Canis lupus familiaris: one gene and its partner. The protein of the gene in region 1 interacts with the protein of each later gene in a pairwise test. Links are inferred from orthologs where the notes say so. Each region holds a gene or a part of one and is shown on either strand. Other genes may lie near its edges.

What was found.
Region 2: the proteins of KLHL2 (region 1) and TMA16 interact in binary tests that used the Homo sapiens proteins (3 or more experiments, as listed by UniProt). The two-hybrid records come from large-scale screens. The link is inferred for Canis lupus familiaris from reciprocal best matches to the Homo sapiens genes KLHL2 and TMA16.

Annotation. Positions count from the first base shown.
Region 1 is NC_049236.1:61,745,576-61,750,044, reverse strand, and holds part of KLHL2 (kelch-like protein 2), read right to left. Parts: intron 3,806-4,469; coding exon 3,696-3,805; intron 3,036-3,695; exon of another isoform or gene 1,826-3,035; intron 1-1,825. UniProt on the Homo sapiens protein: Substrate-specific adapter of a BCR (BTB-CUL3-RBX1) E3 ubiquitin ligase complex that mediates the ubiquitination of target proteins, such as NPTXR, WNK1, WNK3 and WNK4, leading most often to their proteasomal degradation.
Region 2 is NC_049236.1:60,193,026-60,197,494, reverse strand, and holds part of TMA16 (translation machinery-associated protein 16), read right to left. Parts: intron 2,929-4,469; coding exon 2,891-2,928; intron 1,604-2,890; coding exon 1,519-1,603; intron 376-1,518; coding exon 227-375; intron 1-226. UniProt on the Homo sapiens protein: Involved in the biogenesis of the 60S ribosomal subunit in the nucleus.

The sequences.
Region 1 (4,469 bases):
GTGTGTATCGTATTTCTGTTATCCATTCATCCACTGATGGGACACTAGGTTGCTTCTAAATCGTGGCTATTCACAATAGCCACGATTTAGAAATCTTGATTTAGAAATCAAAGATTTAGAAATCTTTGAATTGGTTTATTGTGAATGCTGCAGTAAACCAATGCACATGGGAGCGCAGACGTCTCTTCAAGAATATATCCAGAAGTGGAACTGCTGGATCATATGGTAGTTCTATTTTTAATTTAGCAAGTACCTTCAGCACTTTTATGTATTAAGTATTCTTCATTTGGTATTTTACTAAGCATTTCACCAAATATATTATCTAATCTCCTTGAATTTAAGTGGTAGCTGTGATAATCTGACAATACATGATCTAATTCACTGTTGATAACCTTCCTAAGGTGGTTCTGCTTACCAAGATTTAAATCTCAAGTCTCTTTGGAATAAAGGGCCCAAAATAATAAAGCAAAGTGATACTGTTGAATGAATATCACATACCCTCATAAACAACTATTTTAGGCTTTTTCTTTAGGTTTAAAAAGAAATGTTAGCCATACACTTCTAAGTTAAGTGTCTGCAGAAAAAATTAGTTAATTACTTAATTGTCTGCAGAATAGATGAACTCTCTTTTCTCACAATGAAATATATTAAATCTACTATTTTTGAATAGTAGATTAAAAACAAAATAAAATAAAAACAAAATAAAATAAAAACAAAAAAAATAAGGGCATTACAACTTAACAACATACACCTATGAAAACGTTAATGAGCTAATATGAAGACAGTACGTGACTATATAATTTCCTTCCAGACTGATGAATACATAATCCAGTAATTTTTAAAGGCTTGTGGAAAGTGCCTGATAATAGGTAGTTGGATTATTAGGAACAAAAAAATATTTCTGTTGATGCTGGGATAGAGCATGAAAGTAAAAAAATCTACATTATAATTAACATGCCTCTTTAATTCATTCAGTCACCAAGTATCTACAAAGTACCTGTATGTGTTGGGTGCTAGAAATAGAGAGGATCCTGTCAATTTTGTCTACTATTTCTCAGCTCTACTCTCTCTTCTCCACCTGTCTCCACCATCCTAGGTCAGACCCTACTGCTCACTGGTATGACCTCAACATCCTCCTATCTGACCCTTGCCCCACTTTGGGTTCAGTCAGCACACTACTGACGGCTGGTCTCCAAAATGGTCCCTTAATAAACCACATCTCTGAGTATCCACACCTTATGCAGTGAACCTGCCACAGGGACTCTAAGTTGGCCCTGTGTCACCAAAAAAATAAAATATAAAATAAATAAATAAAATAAAATAAAATAAAATAAAATAAATAATAAAATAAAATAAAATAAAATAAAATAAAATAAAATAAAATAAAATAAAATAAAAAAATAAAAAATTTAAAAAATGCAGCAGAAGTGCTGCGTGACTTCCTAAGCTTGGTCGATAAGAAGCGTTTCAGTTTTCATTCGGGTCTCTTACAATGCTCATCTGGGGGAAGACAGATGTCACGCAAGAAGTCTGATTACTTGAGATCACCATGCTATGAGGAGCCCAAACTAGCCCCAAAGAGGGAAGGGCAGGGAAGGGGAGAGGGTTAGAGGACAGAAGTGGAAAGAGATACCAACCAAACTGCAGTCCAGGAGCTGGACAAGTGAATGAAGGGAGCCAATGTGGATTTTCTGGACCCACAAGACACCATGTGCAGACCGACTGAAGTTCCAGTATGGCTAATCTGGACATTCACGGCAACCCAGCTGAAGCCCAGACGCTACAGAGCAGAGATAAGCTGTCCCAATGTGTTGGTCATCTCTAGACATTGCTGGTCTCTCTGGACATTCAAGCCAAGCCAGCTGAAGCCCAGACACTACAGAGCAGAGACAGGCTGTCCCAACGTGCCCTGAGTGAATTCTGCCCACAGAATGGTGAGTATAATAAAGCGGCTATTGTTTTGTGTCACTACATACACTTTGGGGTGTCTTGTTGTGCAGCAGTAGGAAATCCGGACAGCTTTCATGCCACTTCTATTATGTGGGTATTACCACAGCATTCTCCTACCACTTAAAACCCTTTAAAGAATCTTCTTCATCACGAGGATGAAGTCAAGGTTCTTTAAGACAGCTGAGAAGACATTTTATGCCATCTTCCCATCTATCTCCTACCGCTCTGTCAAACATATATATCCTAGACTCTAAACATATTGAACCAACTTAATGCAATGATTCCTTTCACACCCTTTTTACATTCACATACTCTACCCCTACCTGGCATGCCCTTCCCACGCCCACTCATCCTGACTTCCCGGGCAAACTCATATACTTTTTTAGAACTTGAGCCAGGCTAACAGCATCCCCATCCCAGGAATGATGAAATGTTCCTACGATACCCTCTACAGCATTCCGTAATTATTTATTCATCCCAATGGTTGTCCCTTTAACCTATGGAGTAAAGATTTCTATTTTGTTAACATTTCCGTAGCTGTGACTCTGTGACAGCGTCTGGTCCACATTAGGCACTCAATACGTGTCTGTTAAATATGAATAGCAAAGCAATGTCTTTTCCTCCTCTCTATATTTCTCAAGCACTAGATGACATATCTAACAACCACTCTTCACATCTTTTTTTTCATATGGTAAATATAATAGTAAATGTGTCTTTTTATGCCCAGGCAGGATGGATAACTTTGAGGAATAAAGCTACAGGTCATACAACCTTAAATGCAAAGCACACAAAGAAAAAAACAGTTTCACTTTCTCCAAATTCAGTGTGTTCACAAGCTTGTGTGCCCCAATTCCTGAATATAACACCCACCCAAAGAATAAAAGTCACTAACAGAAGATTCTTTCTCCACCAATATGAAAGGTACAGGTGGGGTGTCTGAGTGGCCCAGTTGGTTAAGCAGCCAACTCCTCATTCTGGCTCAGGTCCCGATTGTGGTGTCCTGGGATGGAGGCCCGGCTCGCATCGGGCTCCCTGCTCAGCTGGGAGTCTGCTTTCCCCTCTTCCTCTGCCCCTCCCCCACTGCTGTACACTCTCTCAAATAAATAAAATCTTTAAAAAAAAAAAAAAAAAAGGAATGCTCAGTCTAGAACAAGCTATTACTTTGTTATCCCTGATAATTTCTTCCCACTCACATAATGGTGAAACTACTCTGGTTTGAGAAATATGGCATTTAGGTCATAATTTTTAGAGGCATCTAACTGTGGGAAGCAACCCAGCACCCAAAAGGACTTGGCTCAGTTTAAGGTGTGCTGGTTCTTGGTGTGGGGGTTGAGTGCAAGACTCTAACATCTAGCAATTCAGGGCATTTCCTGTGGCCTGAAGAAACTAATCTGCACAATCAACAAGTCAACTAGTTGAGTCTGTAATAACTTCCAGATCAAAGATCACTGGCTGTTGCTACACATAGAGGGTTACAAAGTTACAAAACAAAGTGAAATAAAGAAGGGAAAAGTAGGGATGCCTGGGTGGCCCAGTGGGTTGAGCCTCTGGCTTCGGTTCAGGGTGTGATCCCAGGGTCCTGGGATCGAGTTCTGCATCGGGCTCCCCACAGGGAGCCTGCTTCTCCCTCTGCCTGTGTCTCTGCCTCTCTGTGTCTCTCATGAATAAATAAATAAAATCTTAAAAAAAAAAAAAAAAAGGAAAAGTACTCCGTCACTATATACCAGAAAGAAAAACATACTTACCTTCTCTTCTGAGGAAATGGTAAGTTTGTCACTTGAGATTAAGCTGCACACTTGTTCGATGCCGAGATTGAGAAATTCCTCACTAAGTACAACATCTGCAAAATGCTGCTCTGTTGGGAGGTTAAAAATAAAATCCATTAACACCGACATTGTGTTATCCAGCTTCAAACTGCTTCAAAAGGAGGAGGTTTTTCTTAATCTAACCTAAGACTGAGGAAAAACAACTGTATTTCCTCCAGGCAAGAACCAACAAAACCCAAACCAGCTACTCAGGGGAAGTGGTCTCTACTTCAATAAGAAAGTACAGGCACAGGTAGGAGAGCCGGGTATCCTACAGCTGCCCGCCTCTGTATCACATGGTGGGGCTTCTGAGTTAACATTGTATTCCTTATGTGGTAATAAGATTTTCAGTATTGAAATACGTAAAACCTATTGATGACATAAATCAAGTACATGGTGTACATTTTACACCCCTGAATGTAAAATACTTCCAAACCTAATGGAATAAGGAGGGAAACCTGCTTTATTTGAAAACTTTATTTTTTTTAATTTTTTTTAAATTTATTTATGATAGTCACAGAGAGAGAGAGAGAGAGAGAGAGAGAGGCAGAGACACAGGCAGAGGGAGAAGCAGGCTCCATGCAGGGAGCCCAACGTGGGATTCGATCCCGGGTCTCCAGGATCGCGCCCTGGGCCAAAGGCGGGCGCTAAACCGCTGCGCCACCCAGGGTTCCCTATTTGAAAACTTTAAACAAAGAAATGCTAAATGCTGCT
Region 2 (4,469 bases), about 1.6 Mb from region 1:
TCAGGGTAGAAAGATATGATATCACTATCATCACTATCACAAGTGACAGTTTTGAGAATTTAAGAAGAAAATAAAAATAAAAAATTATTCAATAGACTCACAAAAGAAATCAAAGAAAGAAATTCAAACTAAATAAATACAATAAATAAAATCAAAACCTTGAAATACATTACAAATCTGATATGACTGTGTATTTTAGAAAGAAAAAAAGAAAATGAGAACACACCAAGGCCATATCCTTCATACTGTTGTCGCTCACGCTCCATTGTCTGTTTGATGACTGTCTCCCGGGAATAGTGCCGCCTTCCCTGCCTGTCTTTGATGCTGTTATGTAATTCAATCTGCTCTAGTTCACTGCTGAATCGATTTAAATACCTGAGAAATAAGAAAGCAATTTGAGTTACAAGTCTACCCACCATTTGGCTTACAGTACATCATTTAAAACAAACCCCAGCCTTCGCCCATCCTTGAAATTTTTATATTCTCCTGAGTTCCTTGTATCCTCAGACTTCAGACCCTCCCTGAATAGTCCAAGCATGCCCAAAATTTCAACATCCAAATCACTGCTTGCTATTCAAGTATCTGCTAAACTCCAGACCCTCACACTCAACCACCTCCTGAACATCTCCATTTGGATGTCCCATAGAAGCTTAACATATCAAAAGTGAACTTGTGCCCACCTCTATCCCCACCCAACCCCCACCAAAACTGTCCCATCTTTTTTTTGGCTCTCTACTTCAGAAAATAGCACAACCATCCACCCACCTGCCCAGATGAACAACATAGGTGTCCTCCTTGACTCCATTTTTTCCCTTTTATGTCACATCCTAAGTTTTCACTAAGGATTGTGACTTTCTACCTTCTTAATATTTCTGGAATCTTCACTTCTCTTCACCATACTGCTACTAACCATGGAGAGGCCAGCATGCTCTCTTGCCTAGATTGTTTCATCAGCTTTTCAACAATGTCCTGCCCAAAGCCATGTCCCCTCAGGCCACCATCCTCATTCTCACTACTATAACATTTCTAAAGTTTAAATATGATCATCTCAGGTACCTACTGTAAAAAGCTTCTTATGGCTCCCAATGTCCTTTGATAAGGTCCAAACTCCTACAATGATCCTTGAGGTCTTTCATGAGCTGCACCTGTCACTGTCACAATGCCCTCCTTGAGCCTGTTATTTTGGTTATATTAAATGGCCAGCAGATCACTAAATATGTCACTCTTATATCTGATACTGTTCTCTCAGCCTAAAGGCTCTTGAACTAACCCACCTCAATCTGCTAATTAGGAAGCCTTTCCCGATCCCAAGAAACCAGGTTAAGTAAACACTCAGAGGCTGGGAAAAGTTATAAGCCTAGTGGAGTAGCTACACCAGGGTGTGAGTCTAAAGCTTTCATGATAACAAAGCCCATTTAATCCTCTATTAAATCCAGGACAGAACTCAGTCTCTTAAAGAACCAAACTGGAGAATTCCCCTTTTCTGAGCCTTTTGCTCATAACATGCCCAGTGTTTACCTTTCAATTAATTCACAAGCATCTTTCTTTGAATATCCTACTTTTTTGGGATCAAGATGACTTTGAAACCACTGCAGTTTTTCACCTGTAACAACAAGTATCAAAATAGATTAACATCATAAATCAGCACCTAAGCAATGAGCATTCATTATAATTTTCAACATCAGTGTGTTTAAAATAGTATCAAAATTTATTTCAATGTTAAATATAAAGGCTTATGTGGGCTCAAAGCTAATTAAACCAGTCTGTCAGAAATCAAATTGTCACATTTTAATCCGGGGAAGAGACAGGGGTGGGTGAGATGCTTTTTGATATATATTATCCAATAAGGATGCATGAATAAAAAAAAGAATATGTTAACAGAACACGAAGTTCTAAGTATTTAAAAAGCAAAAGATAGAACACTTGTCTAAAATAATAAAAATGAAAATTAGATTAGTGGTGAGGATAACACTAATGAACATTTAATAAGCAGCAGGCGCTATATCAAGAGTTTTACCATCCTTTGAGGATTATTATCCCTATTCACACATGTGAAAGGTTAAGTAGCCTGTCCGGGTACTCAAATTAGTAAATATATTAACCATACAAGATCTGTCAGATACCGTGCAAAGAGTAAATGTGACCATCAGGGTCACTTTCAGTTACGGCCATACCTGAGATACGGATGACCTACTTAGAAATACTATTCTATTACCTGAGAAAGCATTGAAGATCAGTATTCAAACAAAAAACGAACAAAGCCTAAGTCACTATTTTTTAAAAAAATTTATTTATTTGAGAGAGTGGAGAGAGACTGCAGAGAGGGAGAGGAAGAAGCAGATACCCGTAGACCAGAGAGCCAGACATGGGGCTCAATCCCAGAACCCTGAGATCATAACCTGAGCCAAGGCAGATGTTTAACCGACTGAGCAACCCAGGTGCCCCTAAGTATCACTATTTTAAAGTCAGGCTTCTAAGTAAAAATTTACTAATAATAAATCTAGCCAAAAAAAAAAGATGGTGACACTGAGATACAGACAGAGGATGCACATATCCACATCACTAAATATAAACTGCTGTTTCTAAAATACTTAGGCCACAATCCTTCCTAATTCTAATGGTTAGGGAGCTAGAATTAAACTTCAAGAGAAGGAATAGTAGGTAGACAGACAGATGGATAGATGTAGGTAGGCAAGCTGATAGATAAATAAAAAATAGTTTCTGAAAAACTGAGCTAGATATTAACACTTTTTAAGAGTTAACAATTGCTTTTACTTTGTTTTAATTAAGTCCAGTAAAGAAAAGTCCCTAGAAGAATCAAAAGAAAAATAGGTACAGAGCAGAATTTCACTACAGTTTAGCCAGAGTATCAATGAGTAAATTTACTTACCAATAAGATTGAGACGCAATGCCTTTTCATTTTTCAATCTTGGAAGAAAGAGTACATAAGGTATTAGAAAATTTCCATAACAAATTTTTTAAAAATCTGTCAAAAACAAACAAAAACTGCCCACAGAATCTTAAGTCAAGGATCATTCTTTTATACAAATGAAAATAATTTGTTAGTGCAGAAACACTGAACACCATGCTTTTCTTTTAAATCGCTGGAACAAAATGTTTCTAGAAACTTTCCTTTAGCTCTTCAGTGACTAATGACTAAAGGACACCTATAGAACAAATCAGTTTTGAACACCAACAAAAAAAACTTGACTGGATTATGAATGTTCAGGTGGATAATACTTATGCACAAGAGTAATGAATACCTTCTAGAAGATGAAGTGTGGCCACCAAGACCAAAAGGCCTTAGTGTCACCTTTTAAACTTCAACAAGAACAAAAATAGAATGTTTACTTTTCATAATTTGAAAAGAATTTTAATAAGAAAAAAACTGATTTATTCTCAGAAAACAATCTAGGAAATACATGATTCCTATTGTTGGTATTCTAAACATTAATTCCTTCAGGAGACCTTTGGATAGTTAGTTTTTGCCACACTTTATGCTACTCACTAGAGATACAGCAAAGAACAAAAAAGTTACTGTCCCTGCCTAACAAAGCAGACCAGATTTACCCTCCCACTTTAAACAACTAGAAAACTGGGAGAAATAAAATGAAGCTTTCTTTAAGCAAAAAGTTTCAGGCACAGAATGGGAGAAGATGTTCACAACACAAATAACTAACAAAAGGACTTGCATTCAGAATATGCAAATACTTCTTACTACTTACTTAATAAGACAACCTAATACCAAAAAGGGCAAAAGACTTTAACTGGTTTTTCATATCAAAGACATGGAAATGACCAAAGGCACATAAAAAGATATTTAAACATCACTGGTCAGGATGTACAAAATTAAATCAAACTAGGATACTATTATACAACTATCAGGATGGCTACAAAGTTTTTCAAAAAACTGATAATACTGCAGGTTTGAGTGTATTGATATGGAGAGAATGTAGCCCTAATACATTGATGGTGAAAATATAAAATGATACTATCACTTTGGATAAAGCAATTTCTTAAATACTAAAATGTGACACCTATCATACAACCAACAAGTCTTATAAACTTAATTTCATATAAACTCAATTTTCTTACACACTTTAACATACAATCACCATATGACCCAGCAATTCTAGTTCTAGAGAAAGAAAAATGAAAACATATGTCCAAACATTGTACATGAATGTTCATGGCAGCATTATTCATAAGAGCAGAAGCTGGCAAATTTTTTCTTAAATGACTGGAGAGTAACATGTTAGGCTCTGTGGGCCCTGTGATCAGTCACTAGAATGGTGGTTAGACTGTTCTACTACCAAAAACCCAAATCTGTACACTGAAAATATGGCTCTTTTACTGAATACTCTTTATACCTCAAAGTTGATTTTCAAAAATAGAGAATAAATTCATTCATTTCAATTAAGCATAGAGCAAATAACAATCTAGTTAGAAATCAGGTTGAGGTAATTCTG